Arabidopsis thaliana: one gene and its partner. The protein of the gene in region 1 interacts with the protein of each later gene in a pairwise test. Each region holds a gene or a part of one and is shown on either strand. Other genes may lie near its edges.

Evidence for each region. Proteins that work in one complex are often made in the same cells at the same time.
Region 2: the proteins of UBA1A (region 1) and AT2G38610 interact in binary tests that used the Arabidopsis thaliana proteins (3 or more experiments, as listed by UniProt).

The regions. Positions count from the first base shown.
Region 1 is NC_003071.7:9,386,290-9,393,495, forward strand, and holds UBA1A (RNA-binding (RRM/RBD/RNP motifs) family protein), read right to left. Parts: upstream 4,218-7,206; 5' UTR 4,162-4,217; coding exon 3,118-4,161; 3' UTR 2,761-3,117; downstream 1-2,760. Other genes in the region: AT2G22080 (uncharacterized protein), read left to right, coding at 676-804, 1,304-1,708; AT2G22088 (uncharacterized protein), read left to right, coding at 2,095-2,251, 2,513-2,760; AT2G22100 (RNA-binding (RRM/RBD/RNP motifs) family protein), read right to left, coding at 6,108-7,206. UniProt on the Arabidopsis thaliana protein: Acts as a component of a complex regulating the turnover of mRNAs in the nucleus. Binds with high affinity to RNA molecules that contain U-rich sequences in 3'-UTRs. May function in complex with UBP1 and contribute to the stabilization of mRNAs in the nucleus.
Region 2 is NC_003071.7:16,144,669-16,153,211, forward strand, and holds AT2G38610 (RNA-binding KH domain-containing protein), read right to left. Parts: upstream 5,267-8,543; 5' UTR 4,971-5,266; coding exon 4,885-4,970; intron 4,797-4,884; coding exon 4,705-4,796; intron 4,424-4,704; coding exon 4,272-4,423; intron 4,070-4,271; coding exon 3,953-4,069; intron 3,852-3,952; coding exon 3,735-3,851; intron 3,590-3,734; coding exon 3,446-3,589; intron 3,037-3,445; coding exon 2,884-3,036; 3' UTR 2,438-2,883; downstream 1-2,437. Other genes in the region: AT2G38600 (HAD superfamily, subfamily IIIB acid phosphatase), read left to right, coding at 1,239-1,603, 1,710-1,922, 2,012-2,189; CDKB1;2 (cyclin-dependent kinase B1;2), read left to right, coding at 7,883-8,516.

The sequences.
Region 1 (7,206 bases):
AAAAGCTTTTCTTTTTAGTTTTTACTAACCATTGACTACATACATACATTAATACATAGATGAAGAAAGATCTTGGTCGGCATAAAATGTATGACTTAACAGAGAGAGCCCACACTTGTGTAGCTTACGTGGCAGGTCAATTAGAGATGATCACATAGAGTCACTGCCCGTACTGCCCTAAGGATTCGTAGTAACAACTACGGGCAGCTTCACACTCTTCTCTTTCATCTCTCATCTCTCTCTTCTCCTATATCTGAGATTCTGAACAACTCTTCTTTGATCACAAATCTCACACTTTTTCCATTAATGAACAGAGCTCATTTCTTCTAGTCCTTTTCTCTTTCTTTCTTCCTTTTTCCGCTAATTACAGAGCTTTTCTTTGGTACGTTCTTCTTCTTCTTGTATCTGTTTATTTTGTTTCTTAGATTATTGTTTTGTATGTTGTCAAATATTGAAGTAGAGGACAACCTCTAAACTTGGTTGTTTCCTCTGTTTTTCATGATTCTTTCTATGATTGCTCTGTTTTGTCTTTTTTTTTTCTCGTCAATAACTTCAAAACGAAGATTGCTCCATATTTGATAAATGGACAAGAAAGTTGTCTGAAAATTTTGCTTTAGTTATTATTATTGCAGATCTAACGGTTTTCATAACTGTTAAATACAGAGTGAAGAAAGAATGGAGTTGAAAGAACAAGGTATGAGTATGAGGTTGTCTCTGGTTCTCGGTAACGCTTTAGTGCTAAACTGCGCCGCTTTGGCTTTAACGGCTACTATGCTCTCTTCTTTGCTAGAGCTCTTCTCTCAGGCAAGCTTTTTCTATTTTCAACTTTTTTTTTTTTCCTTCTTAACAAACGTTTACAAGTATTCGCGGTCGCACAAAACAACAACTTTATAAAAATAGATTTTTTTCTACACAAAAGTTTCACACAAATTTTTTTGGCTACAAAACTAAATCTTGACCGACTTGAAGCGTTACTTCATCAGAATGGGTGGTTGGAAAAATATATAAAATTAAAAAGTTTTGGTTAAATATTGTGAGGGTATGTATATAATAATAGCTATTAGTTGAGGACGGTTGCTTTTAATGGGGAATATTAAGATAGATTTTTAAAATCTAAATTATAAATTGTAGGTCCAAAAAAAATCAAAAAGGTATATTCCATATATTATGCTTCCAAGTTTTTCAAATTTAATGTCTAGAAGAAGCCCATGTCCTAATTTAGTATGTCGGCCCAATTTGTAAAATCATGTTAACTTGGTAAAAGATTGTTTCTGGTAGTGATAAAATGAATATGAAGCTGCAGGTTACTGTCTTGAAGGGTGATGTTATAGAGAATGGATATGAGGTGGTTGATGCAGTGGAAGGCAATGGAAACAATGATGATAGTGGTGATGATGGAGGAGAAGACGAAGAAGGCAGTGCAGATGATGCAGAAGGAAAGGAGACCAAGAAAGGACCGGTAAGTGATCCTGATTTGAACGGTGAAGCTGGAGATAATGATGATGAACCTGAAGGGGATGATGGTAACGATGACGAGGATGATGATAACCATGAGAACGATGATGAAGATGAGGAGGAGGATGAAGACGAGAATGATGATGGTGGTGAAGAAGACGACGATGAGGATGCGGAGGTAGAGGAGGAGGAAGAGGAAGAAGATGAAGATGATGAGGAAGCGCTTCAGCCACCAAAGAAGAGGAAGAAGTGAACAAACCGCTTTGATCTCCTAACATTTTAGATTCAAAAATCAAAACTTGTTATCGGTTTTTACCTGAAGAGGAGAGAATCTTAAGGCATCATCAGCTTTAGCTTCAACTGTGTCTTTGTTGTTCCATAAACCAAGACTTTGTTTAGTGTAACATTTTCAGATCCAATGGCACCAGCTTTCTTTTCTTTAGCCCATCATTAATGATATATGCATATCTCTATGAGGTCATCAAATGCGATCAAATTTATATAACAACTTCAAGGGTCAACTTTAGCTGTCATAAATAGTTAAAAGAAAGTTAAATCCTATTGAGTCCTCATAGAGCAAACCTTTTTCCCCAGAGGTCACAATACAGATTGCACAGAGGTCTTTAACGAATAATCACAATGATATTACTTGAGCCACAGACTGTCTATCGTATGATATCGGACAAGAGTGACATCAAACAGAAAAAAAAAGAAAGGAAGAAAAAACAATACAAAAAAAAACTAAAACGTACTGACTTTGATAGAAATGTTAAAAAGAAATCCCCAGAAACTGCATGTTTATCATTCTCATGCTCAGCCCACACCATCTGCAAAAGTTGGAGTTCAAGAAAACAAAACAAAACATAACTCTATCAAAAGCTGAAGACAAAAAGAAAAACATATGGAAACAAGAGCAATGCTCTATCTTTCTGGTAAGATAACCCCGAAAAGTGAAAACAATAGAAATCAAAGGGACAAACATAAAAAAAATGTTAAAACTCAAACTTAAGTCTAAAACCATGAGTGCAACAGCATGAACAGATGCTATAGTTTACAGTCCGTTTAAAGACGTTAGCACCAAAACCAGATGAGTGGAGAGATGGTGGACGTTCAGTTTATAAAACCCAGTGCAACACTAAAACAAAAAAAGCCAAGAGACAAAAAGAATGTAACAATATTCGTCCCCACCATCACCAACCTATAGAGAAACTAACTTCGATAAAACAAATGGCACTTGAGAAAACTGTAAAACCAGGGACAGTAAAGAAAAGAAAACAAAACATAAACCAACAAAAGGAAAAATAATGGAGAAAACAAAAAAAACAAAAGTATGGTGGGTCACATTGCATCTACTTGAAATAGAGTCGAAGCAAGATTCATGAATAATGAATTACGGCAACCGATGACAATGCTAACCTACCTCTAGAACATAATTTAGGTATTTAATTCCTGTAGCAGTTCCTCCTAGGAATATACATATTTAGGCATTTAAGCCAACTATTTGACTAGAGAGGCATAATAATGTCAGATAAAATTCCGGTACTACCACAAAAGCCTTAATCCATTTATCTACACATGACGGAGCTACAATGAATTTATGCTTATCCAAAGACATTCAAACCACAATATTAGCACAAACATTGCTACAAAACACCAAAGGTTTCAGTGAACGTACCATGAATAGTTTGAGTAGCCATGAAAGGAGGAGCCACCAGCATCCGAATCTTTACCCGTCCCTCTTTTTCCACCAGCATCCGAATCAGGATAAGTACTAGGCAGACTCTGACCTCTAAAGTAAGAACCTAGAGCTGAAAGACCAGCAGCACCAACGCTTGGATCAACACCAATCCCACCCATTTGACTAGACTGTACCATATCAGAACCCAACCCGCCATGTGCTAGAGCACCCGCTAACATCGGATACATGTAACCTCCCCCAGCTGCTGCTGCTGCTGCTAAAGCTGGATTTCCCAACATCCCAGCTCCATAAAGCGGATGGTATTGGTTCCCTAACATAAACGGCGAAGCAGCCATTCCACCACCGTTAAACACATGTTGACCTTGTACCTGCTGTTGCTGAGGCTGTCCATGATTAGCCATCGAACCCATACTAATCTTCACCGGACCAGGTTGATCATGCCCCTTTCCTGAAGCCGCAGGACCCATAGAAGCAAGCTGGCAAGTGGCAGTTCTATTAAGAATCCTCTTCTTCGGTTCTTTAAGAGCTTCTTTAGCTCCTTTCCTAGTCTTGAACATAACAAATCCAAACCCTTTAGCCTTACCAGTAGCCTTATCTATAACAACGGTACACTCTTCAATCTCACCATAACCTTCAAAGACTCCAACAAGAGTCTCGCGAGTCGTCTCCCATGGAAGACCATAAACGAAGATTTTCCTGTGTGTAACATCACGATCTGCGGCTTCTACGACGGCGGAATAGATCGAAGATCCGATTCGAGAAGCGGAACAAACTAGATCGACAAGCTGGTCCTTGGAATAAGGTTGTAGAAGCTCACGGAGCTCTTCTGGGTCGAATTCGTTGTCTGATTCGGAATCGCTAGAATCAGAGCTGGAGCTTGAACTTGAATATGGCGTTGAGGATTCTGGTTGTTGTTGTTGTTTGTTAATCTTCTGTTTCTTATCGAAATTCGTGGATTTGGATTTCACGAGTTTGCGCTTCTTAGATTTGTCTAGGGTTTTCGCCATTGTAGTAGAGGATAAACGAGTCAAGAAGCTTTTAGGGATTTTGATTTTTGATTTTTGATTTCAGTTTCCTGTTTCCCCTCGGGTCAAGAGTTCGATTTACTTTATCCTCGAGATGTCGTTTTTCCGATTTTTTCAGTTTAATTTTTTTTTTATTCGAGTATTTTGCTTTGAATATATTTTCAAATATTTAGATTATTTTTGGATTGGTTTATTTTGAATATTTTTATTATTTTACATATTTTTAAATATTTGCTTTATATTTAAGATAAGGCCTTAGATCTTTGTAGAGGTTACATGGCAAGATGCTGGCTTTAAGTTATGATGGCTATACATCAACCGGAATACCATAAGCTCCCTAACTTTACGGGGTGTGAACTTTGTGGTACTTTTCTTTTAGAGCGCCGTCAGAAAAGATTCCTGGCTAGGCAGAGGTTTTAGCCATATTGGTGGTGTCGCTCTGCTACTTGTTTATTCATTCACCAGTTGAAACTTTTTTTTCTTTCTTTTTTATCTTTATGTGTTATGAGAAACTAAAAAAATAGTCACCGAGATCTTAGAGAGGGTTTTGTTTTTGTTCTTAAGATTTTCAGAGTTTCCCCATTGGAAAGAAAAACAAAGCCCTCATAAGATCATGATCACAAAACAACGAAATCAAATGACCAAAACCAAACCAAAGTTGATTTAGCTGAAGCATACTATAGATTAATACGAGTTGATTCATATGGATGGATGGATAGCTGCAGAGAAGACCAAAAACCGAGAAACAAGATTGATCCTCTTAAGAAATCGAAAAACTGAAAACAAGATTGATCCTCTTAAGAAAACAAGCATTCGCATCATCGGTCACTGTGAGGTCATTGTGAAAATCCAAAGAAAAAAAAAAAAAAAACAAGTATGCTTTGCTACCATAACCAGAGTTATATAGAATATGAATAACGAGCAGGTAAAAAAAAGGTAAATCCAGAACAAAGCTATGTAAGGTGAAAAACAAATTGGGTCCAAGTACCGATGACCAAAAACAATCTTGAACTTAGGCAAGAAAACTTGGCAACTGATATCAAAATGGACTCTTAAATACAAAAGAGAAAGGGGCGACACTACCATAAAAGAGGAATGTGATGAAAGAGATTGAGAAGCTTATAAAAACCTATGGGGAAGAAAACAATGCTTGAAGGAAAGAAAACTCAGGTTGTTTATTCCAGAGAAAATCAACTTGAAGCTTTTGAAAGAGTCCCAAAACTTTTTCCAGTACTCAAAAAGACAGATTTAAAACAAGAATGTAAAACCATTATGTCTGATCCTACAAACGGGTCTCAAGACAACTGCAGCTGGAAGATACAGACTTTTGGCAGTTATGACATATAGTGGACAAAACTATAAATGTCATAAGCTTCTTCTCCAGCTATAGCGAACAGATATTCAATGAAAATGCGGGAAAACATAAAACCAAAAACAAGGAAAAACAAAAGAGAAAAACATACGCCATGCCACAGAAGAAAACCAGACGTGAGTTTGATGGGTAAGGAGAAGACAGAAGACCATAATGGGGGACTCCAAAAGGGAAAACAAAGAGATAGCAAACTACTTTAAACCAATATTGATCCTAGTAACTAAATCTTCTAGACAAAATGACCACATTTCACTGGTTTATGAGAACAGAGCAGAACACCAATGACAGACTTCCAGAGAGCAACAGAAAATTCATCCTTTGAGCACACATCTCCCTCAAAATGGCTCATATAGGGGTAGATACCTCGTTAAAAGAGACTATAAATAATGAAACTAAAAAAGTAGGTTTGAAACATCAGGCATAGAAAATAAAGATCCGCAAAAAAAACTCCTGCAATTCCCAAAATATCAAGTTGGAGTCGAAGATACCGGACTAATCATTAGCCTAATCTATAACTTGAAATATCAGAGAACATGGTCATACCACTTGGGTTCTCTTATCTCAGATACCAAGCACGTTCACCATCAAAACCAGCACCAGCACCAGCACCCGCACCAACACCGTTAACATTACCATCACCAACATATTGTCCCACCATTCCCATATGATTCGGTGGCATCATAGGTCCTTGATTCATCATACCCGAGCCAAACATACGATAATTCTGTAAACCAGCAACCATCGGATTACCCATCATTGCACCATACATAGGATTAAAACCAGGAGGAGGCTGAGAATGTCCATAAAAGGGCATGTTCTGTCCAGCATACATTGACATATTCTGCTGCTGCTGATGTCCCTTATCAAGTCCATGACCCAAATCAATCCCAGGCAAAGCCATTTCACTCTGATTACCCGTATGACTCAAATCAATCTTCACAGACTCAACCGGTTGTTGTTGTTCTCGTGGCTTTCCAGAATTAAACGGCCTAGCTGGTAAACAACTAACAGTTCGATTATACATTCTCTTCTCCGGATTCTTCAACGCCGCTCTCGCTCCTTTACGCGTCTTAAACAACACAAAGCCAAAACCTTTAGCTCTTCCTGTATCTTTATCCATAACCACAGAACATTCCGTTATCTCCCCATAAACCTCAAAAGCCGCCTTGAGATTCTCATGCGTTGTATCCCATCCAAGACCACGCACGAATATGTTCCGTTGAGAACTATCTCTATCCGCTGATTCAAACACTGCTGAGATCAATTTAGAACCTTTCTCAGCAGTTTTGTAAATTAGGTTAATAAGCTCCTCTTTAGAGTAAGATTCAAGTAGATTCTTAATATCTTCCTTATCGAATTCGAAATCAGAATCAGACTCAATGGTAACAATCGGGACCGTAACAGGCTTTGAATCGACGATCTCTTCGGATTCATCTGATGATCTCTTATGTTTCTTCTTACTCTCCTTCGATTTCTTAGGAGATGGAGATGGAGATGGAGATTTCTCCTCTTCTTCTACTTCTTCGTATTTCTTCGATTTCTTCTTTGATTTCTCTGGTTTCTCTTCCTCTTTGGATTTCGATTTATGTTTTTTTGAGATTTTCTTCTCTCTTACAGCGAGTTCTTCAGCTTCGCGACGCTTCCTCTCCTTCCTC
Region 2 (8,543 bases), 6.8 Mb from region 1:
CAAATCTATGAAAATTCAAAGGGACAGGAGAACATGAAAAAAAATATCTAAAGGAGTGTTAATGAGATGAGCTAATTGGTTAGTGTGCTTAATGGGAATGTTTTAGACTTTTAGCTGAATTATTCTTTTTAAGTTTTTAATGATTAAACCAAAGCAACTCTTAACGGAATTGCCACTTTAGTATATCGTTGACAACTCTTAGTTTCCATTAGACTACTACGTACGTGTCATCCACTTTTCTGTTGACAAAAACTAATAACAATCCCATTCCTTGTCAGCATCCAATCCATAAATGTAGTTGGTCGGTCCATTTTTTGTTGGTTTGACACATTTGTGCACAATCCCATTAATTTCTTGATAATTAGCAATAAGGCAATCCTAGTTAGCTAAGAAACTATACGATTATATTTTTGGTTTGTCTACTATATAACATGTACTGTGGGAGACACTTACACATGTAACTAGTTTAACCAAACTAGATGATCGTTCAAAACAGCATCCAGCTTATCTCTCGAGTGAAATCCTAAAACTTGGGTAGAATAGTACCATGGAAATTGCTTTAAGTGGGTTTATATCATAAACATAGAAATTTATATTATACGTGAGGAAAAAACTAGTGAGATCATCCACTTAGTGTTGTTATATACTAACTAAAAGATATCATATGCGCCACTTAGTAAATGCAATGATGTATTATTAGAGATAGTAGAGGATTAACGTGAATGTGTTTGGAATACATATAGTGGCGATAGATGTGTGTTAGTGAATATGTTCGGTGCTGGTTTTGACCCCATATCATAATTTTTAATGTAATAAATTCTTTTGCTTACTTCATAATTATTAAGTTAATTGGTCGTAAAAATGGTGCTACTTAGTGGATGAAACCTCATCCAGAATCTTCTACCGAACCAAAACTCTTTAAATACTAATCTATAACACGGCTACATTACTATTAAGCTGATCCGATCCACCACCACATCATAGGTATTATTACTCTGATCTTCCCTTTTCAAGCATTACTACTTTCTCCTCTTAGTTTTCTTGTTTCACCAACCAAGCTCTCTTTCTTGATCTCTATCTTTATGTCAACTCTATGCTCTCTTGTATTGTGTTCTTTTCCTTTTCAACAAATTTTGTTCACTAGTCACTAGTATTTCCTAACACTTTGTACTCATGATGATCTCTACCTATCTTTGCATAAAACCCTCACGGGTACTTAGGAAGAATATTCAAGAGCAATGGAAAAGTGTAGTAGAGAGACGTTGCTTTTCATTTTTATAACAATATCATCAGTGGCAACCAGTACAAGTACATGGATGCCGATGGATGGAAATTATGGTGCTAGCTATTGCTTAAGCTGGAGACTAGCAGTAGAGACCAACAATGTACGTGCGTGGCGCATTGTTCCTCTGCAGTGTCTGCGTTACGTTGAGGTATATATGCTTGCTGGTCAGTATGACAGAGACGTCCAGTTGACTGTGGACCAAATCAAAGTTTATCTCAATGAGATTATCCTTCCTGGTGATGGCATGGACGCATGGATCTTGGATGTTGATGATACTTGCTTCTCAAACGTCTTTTACTATCGGCTTAAGAGATATGGGTACGTATACACACTTGTTTCTTTTTACTAAAACTAGTTTTAAGATGTTGTGATTCTTGGATACCAAAAGTTAGAAAATTGTGGCTAATGATGAGTTAACATGTAGATGTGACCCTTATGATCCAACTGGATTTAGAACATGGGCGATGAAAGGAGAGTCTCCAGCAATACAACCTGTTCTTGAATTGTTCTATAAACTGATAGAAACAGGCTTCAAAGTTTTCCTAGTAACCGGAAGAGACGAAGAGACCCTTCGCCAGGCAACACTAGAGAATTTGCATAACCAAGGATTCACTGGTTATGAAAGGCTGATTATGAGGTAAAAGGACGAAGCATACTTACTTTGAAGCTTTTTTTTACCAAGACAAAGTCACAGTCAGTGAGGACAATATTACTACGTACTTGCAGGACAGCGGATAACAAAAGACAAAGCGCAACAACATACAAAACAAGAATCAGAAAGGAGATGATGGAAGAAGGTTACAGGATATGGGGAAATGTAGGCGACCAATGGAGTGACTTACAAGGAGAATATTCAGGGGATCGTACCTTCAAGATTCCTAATCCTATGTACTTCGTTCCCTAATCAAAAAATTTACTATAACCATTCCTATCAATTATATGTACAACATACACAAAGGGTATGTCTCAACTTAAGCTATGTGTTAAGATGTGAGTTTCTCCTAGTCCCATCCAAAACCAACAAGCCCTTACCACCCAAATTCAAGAGACCAGCCCATAAATTCCCAAAATGTACAAAAGTGACTATCACTATAAGGAATCTCAAATCAAAGGAATAAGTTCAATGGTATATCTATAGGGCTAGGCAAAAAAATATATGAAAGAAACAAATAAACCAAATCAAACGATAAGAATCAATCCAATAAATGTGTTTTTTGTTTATGTTTATACAATAAGAATTTTCAGTCCACGCCCTCCCAAGCCACCACATCTTTTTCTCCCTATATATATTATATATCTCATACTCTTTTTTTTTTTTTTTGCATGAATCTTTTTTAAATAATCTGTAATGAATTTTTGATGAGGAAAAAGAAAAACAAAAGTTTAAAATAAAGAAGAAGAAAAACGAAAGCCACAGGGTCGCTCACCCGAGAGAGACCAGGGCAGGCCTTGACCAGACCACCACCATTGCAGCCACTACTGGAGAAACCAGATATACACATGTGCGTCTGTGTAATGCATGCAGACATGTACTTTTGGTTGAAGTAACCATTATAAGGCTTGAAGGAGCGTTTTGGGCGAGACGTACAAAACGCTACTTAGCATCCTGTTTTCGGGCGTTTACCACTTGAATTGAAAGGCGAAACGCTTCCACCTCCGCTTGGCCCCGGACTCTCTTCCCTCAGGTTGTTCGAGTTTAGCAATGCCAGTTCCCTCAGCTGCTGTCTCTTTATGAAATCTTGCGACTCGTCCTTCATTATTACAAACAACCAAGAAAATGTTATGGTACTAACCAAGAATATATCAAAGACATAAAAATGAAGTGTTTGAAAAAAAGATGGCTTTTTTGGCGTTTCCGATTACACCAATTGCTACTTTGACTGGTGAAGTGGTCACACATGTCTGCATAATTGAACACTAGCCACAAATTCCAAAAATGGTACTGAAATCTGAACGCTAAGACAAAGAATAGAGGCCCTACAGGTAATAACTATAGAGTCTCAATGGGGCAAAACAGCTAGGGAAGAACCTAAAATAAAAACGTGTCCTTTCGATTTAATACCCTCCAAGGAAGACTATACTATTCTCTTAATGCCTTGTACTGATACCAAAACATATCACAGAATAAATAATTGAGAGTAGTGGAGGAGGAAAATGTACCACAGGCTTTAGTAACTCTTCTATAATTTCTTGAGCTTGTCGCAGACGTATCTCCACAATACTAGCTGGAAGATCTGCCTCTATTAAGATGTGAAGCTGCTCATTCAAGTGTTCATAGCCAGGTCTTCCCCTTAATTTATCTTCCTACATTGTATCATCCAAAAACACAATCATACGATATGTTATTCAATACTCTTTTAATTACCAGAACATCATTTCAGAGCCAACCAGTAGGTTAAACTGTGAAAGTGTTTGACACAGTCTCAAATGGTTCATTCATGGCTCTCACCTTTTCGGGATCCTTGATTGACCCTTTCCCTCTGATGAATACTCGGCAACCGGTGGTAGCTTCAACGCGTTTTAACGAGTTGCCTCTAGGGCCGAGAAGTCGTCCAACAAAATTGAACTGATAAAACAGAGGAAATAAGAATGGAAAGTTGAGAAATATTATCATCAAATATGGAGCAAATGATGAGCAAACACATCAAGATGACTAGAAGTACTCACATTAGGATAGTTATCTACAGGAATCTCCAGACGCAATATCCTTTTGACGGTGTATGAACTGGGGCTTCCAGGTGCACCTTGCCAATCCATTGTCATTCCAGGTGTTCCACTAAGTCTCTGCAAGAAACTGAGTGTTTTAGCTCATCTCATCATGCTTAGCAGAAGCACAGGTAATATCAATCAGCATTGCGAAAGACAGAAGCTAAACTAAATGATTGTAGTAATCTAGCATAAAAACTAAGACGGTGTGAATGAAGGTGAAACTGAATATAAGAGGATGGTTGAGTTAAGAAACAGTAGATGATGATGATGATGATACCTCCTGAGAGAGGCCGTTCCAGCCTCCTAACCCGGTATTAGAGACATTAGACATAAGATTAGAAGAAGCCATAGGGCTGGGACTTCTGTGTCGAAGTCTATCAAAATCACCAAATCCTTGGTTAGACATCATTCCAGAGACCCTGAACATCTCTGCACATCAACAAAGATTCATATTATGCAATTGACACTAAGGGTAGTACTAACGTAGGTAATGCTGGATTCAATGAGACAAATTGAAGAAATCAAATCAATGAACTTGATCTCACTCTCATGGACTAATTGAATTAACTAAAACTGAACATTTTGTAAGAAAATTGGCTGACAAAAAGAAAGAAACTTTTAAGGACTTTAAGTCATCCCAATCTAGTGAAAACAGAAAGGGTATATACAGTTGAAAAATTAAGATCCGAATCAGAATGAAAAGGAGGAACCTTGATTCAATAGACGGCTACATATGGGTAGGACCTGCATAAAAGGAGTAAGCTTTTGATGTTCAGCGAGAAGCTCCGTCAAGTACTGAGAGCTGTTCAAGCAAGAAACAGAACACAGATCGGTTTTCACATAAAACCAAAATAAAAAGAGTGTCTCGAAATCAGAGTTTAGGAACAAACCTGTCGATCTCAGGAGTGCTTCTAATCTGAGGAGAAGCAGCTCGAGCAGGAGAGAAGTAAGATGAGTTATTGTATAAACCAGACATGGGTTATTTTGTGTGCCTTTCTTCTTCTTCTTCTTCTCTGTACAAAACCAAGATTGTTGGGAAAAGGGTTTTGATGGAAATCGCAGAACCAAAAAAAAGTAGAAAGAGAAAGAGAAAGACCAACGCCAGCAGCAGACACCAAATGTGAATTCTGCAGAAGACGCCAGACTTTTTTTTTCTTTTTTTCTTCTGTCTGAAAAATCTCTTTTTTTTTTTGTTTCTTTGATTAAAAGTTATTTTTATTTTCCATAAAGGAGATTTTTAATTAAACTCAGGCAGAAAAAATCAGCTAAAAAGTTTAAAGTGACAGAGTGGATCTCTCTGTTACAAAGGTTGAAAAATTTAGTGATTATTTTTTGGTGATAATTCAACCGTCACCGTTTGATTGATTCTGTATTATAATTAAATAAATAAGGAAATAAGAAAATGGAGAGAAACTTTGGTGTGTGTGCGTGACTACGTAGACCGTATCTTTTAACGCCGCTAAAACTTTACACGTGTCAACCATGCAATCGCTCATTTGAGCTGTCTTTTTGGCCTGGACATTTTTTAATTATTAATTATTAACAATAAATGTGTTTCTGCAATTTTTTGTTAGGTGGTGATGATTTTGAGTGCTCTTATTATGCTCATGGTCTTCCAAGTCCCCCAAATGTAACGCACACAATTAAACCATTTTACGTGTACAGAATTTTATAAGACAAAGCAATTTATGAATATTTTGGAAGAGAAAAAATATTAATAAAAAGGAATTTAATGAAAAAAACTCTCAACTTTGTCCTGATCCATTTTTAAACCCTAAACTATGTTTTTAGTAAAACAAATCCTAAACTAAAACCTGTTAATAAACTTAACTTCACAGTAATTAAATATTAATGAGATATTAATTTTTTAAAAAGAAAACAATGAGACATTTGTATTTAGCGCAAAAACCACGTGATGTTCTTTAAAACTGTTTTGAATTTATTACAAAAAAACATTCTAAATAATTTTGAATTGCTTAATTAGTTTGGATTTTAAAAGCTGAAAGAAAGACACAATAACTTAAAATAATCCAAAGAGTCATGCTTAAATAAATCCAACCAACATAACTATCGAAGCTGTTGCAACACAACAATATTTGTCACAAAAAAAAAACAATCGTTTCAGATGGACAAGATATTCTAAAGTAAAGACTTGTCAAGCATTAACTTTGAAGAGAAGATTGTATTGGCTGAGTGATAGGGTTCTCTTCATCCATTGTTTTCTGTTTTTTCCTTGGTCGTCCTTGAGGTTTCTTGGGTGGTTTTGGCATTGCTTTACACTTGCATGAACGTTTGTTGTGTCCGACTTGTTGACAATTGCTGCAAGTCTAAATATGCAAAGATTAAATTTAATAATTTGAAAATGAAGATCTTGTGAAACATAATTCATTGTTCTCTATTTTACCATTTAAACTTTTTCACGTGTATAAAGAACTTTTTGAGGTGGACGATCTTCAGTTGGATCACGGATTCTGTCATTGTTCTTTGGTCGATTTTTGGAAATTAATATCCCATTAATATTTAATTACTATGGGGTTAAGTTTATTAACAGGTTTTAGTTCAGAGTTTGTTTTACTAAAAACATAGTTCAGAATTTAAAAATAGATCTGACCAAAGCTGACGGTTTTTTTCATTAAATTCCCTTAATAAAATGGTTGCAAATAAGTTTATTGACCCTAGTAAATCAGTAACGGTTTTTCATAATCAACTTTAAAGTCTTTAAGCCATTTTCTTTCGTTTAGTCAATGCCCTATCATTGAATATTATCTTTGTTTTCTTTTTCATTATTGTAATTTTCTTTTATGTATAGTAGTCCAATAATTTTTTAATATTCAGCCATTGTTTAGTTTCCACATGAAACACACAATTTGTTTATAATCTTGTTTTTCTTTCCCCTTTACATAGAACTTCTTATGATGATTTTTATGAGTTTGTGAAATTGCATACCTTGCACATTCGTAGACCTAGTCAGAATTTTTGTTGTTGTTGTAGTATCTTTATTGTAAAAAGAAATGGTTTTCTTAATGTAACTATCGATCAAAACTGATGCAATTACCATACATGAAATTGGAATGAGTGTAAGAAGAATATAAAGTTGAAATAAATCAAAAATGTGAAACTGAATCAATATCATATGAAGTTGAATCATGTATACTAGAAGCCTAGAACACAAGAAACAACCCACCATTAATGAATAATGAGTAAGAGTTCACAGTCCCAAAATAATTGAAGTTACAAATTCGAACACAAAAAATCAAACCTAAACATTTTTCCAATTGGTTGAGTAAGTGAAAAAAAACTACGTAGTAAGAAATTCTTTTTTTGAGTTTGTGCCAAACATTGAACATTAACGTATAAGGAGAAAACTAATGGGATACAAGCTAAAACAGTTATAGTCTTATTAATTAGTATGTTAAATACTAGATTAAAGTTAAAATGAAGTTGGAAAAGCTCGAAGTTTCAACCAATTAATGCGAAATGATCGACTCTTCAAGTAATATTAATAGTTTAGCAAAATAAATGACTGAAAAATCTTTATTATGGGTTGTGGCTGCAAGCATGAGCTTAGCTTTTTGTACTCAGGGCCGGCTTTACATCAAAGATCATGCATAGATTCATTCAACTAAACATTCACCATGGATAATGAATTGAAATCTATAAACATAATCAAGCAAATATCTTATACTATACTTATCTGTTTAAAATGACTTTGAGTCTTTGACTAATAAAATATTATTGGTACGTGTGAAGCGTGCGAGGGATTCAAATGTTAAACGTTATAGCAAAGAGGCGCCTTTATTTACCAGATCTAAAATCGAAAAGGGGCTTTAGGGTTTATAAGACCCAAACAAAAAACATTCATCAGTCTCAATTCAAAATCCTCCATCAATGGAGAAATACGAGAAGCTCGAAAAGGTCGGTGAAGGAACCTATGGAAAAGTCTACAAAGCAATGGAGAAAACCACCGGAAAACTCGTCGCTCTGAAGAAAACTAGGCTCGAAATGGACGAAGAAGGTATACCACCAACGGCTCTCCGTGAGATCTCTCTTCTCCAAATGCTTTCTCAATCAATCTACATCGTTCGTCTCCTCTGCGTCGAACATGTTATTCAATCGAAAGATTCGACTGTTTCTCACTCTCCCAAATCCAATCTCTATCTCGTTTTTGAGTATCTCGACACTGATCTCAAGAAATTTATAGATTCTCATAGAAAGGGCTCGAATCCTAGACCGCTTGAGGCTTCTCTTGTGCAGAGGTTTATGTTTCAGCTTTTTAAAGGTGTGGCTCATTGTCATAGCCATGGTGTGCTTCACCGTGATCTTAAACCGCAGAATCTTCTATTGGATAAGGATAAAGGGATTCTTAAGATTGCTGATTTGGGTCTTAGTCGTGCTTTTACTGTGCCTCTTAAGGCTTATACACATGAGATTGTTACTCTTTGGTATAGAGCTCCTGAAGTTTTGCTTGGTTCTACTCATTACTCTACTGCTGTTGATATTTGGTCTGTTGGATGCATCTTTGGTTAGTAATCAGCTACTATGTCTCTTT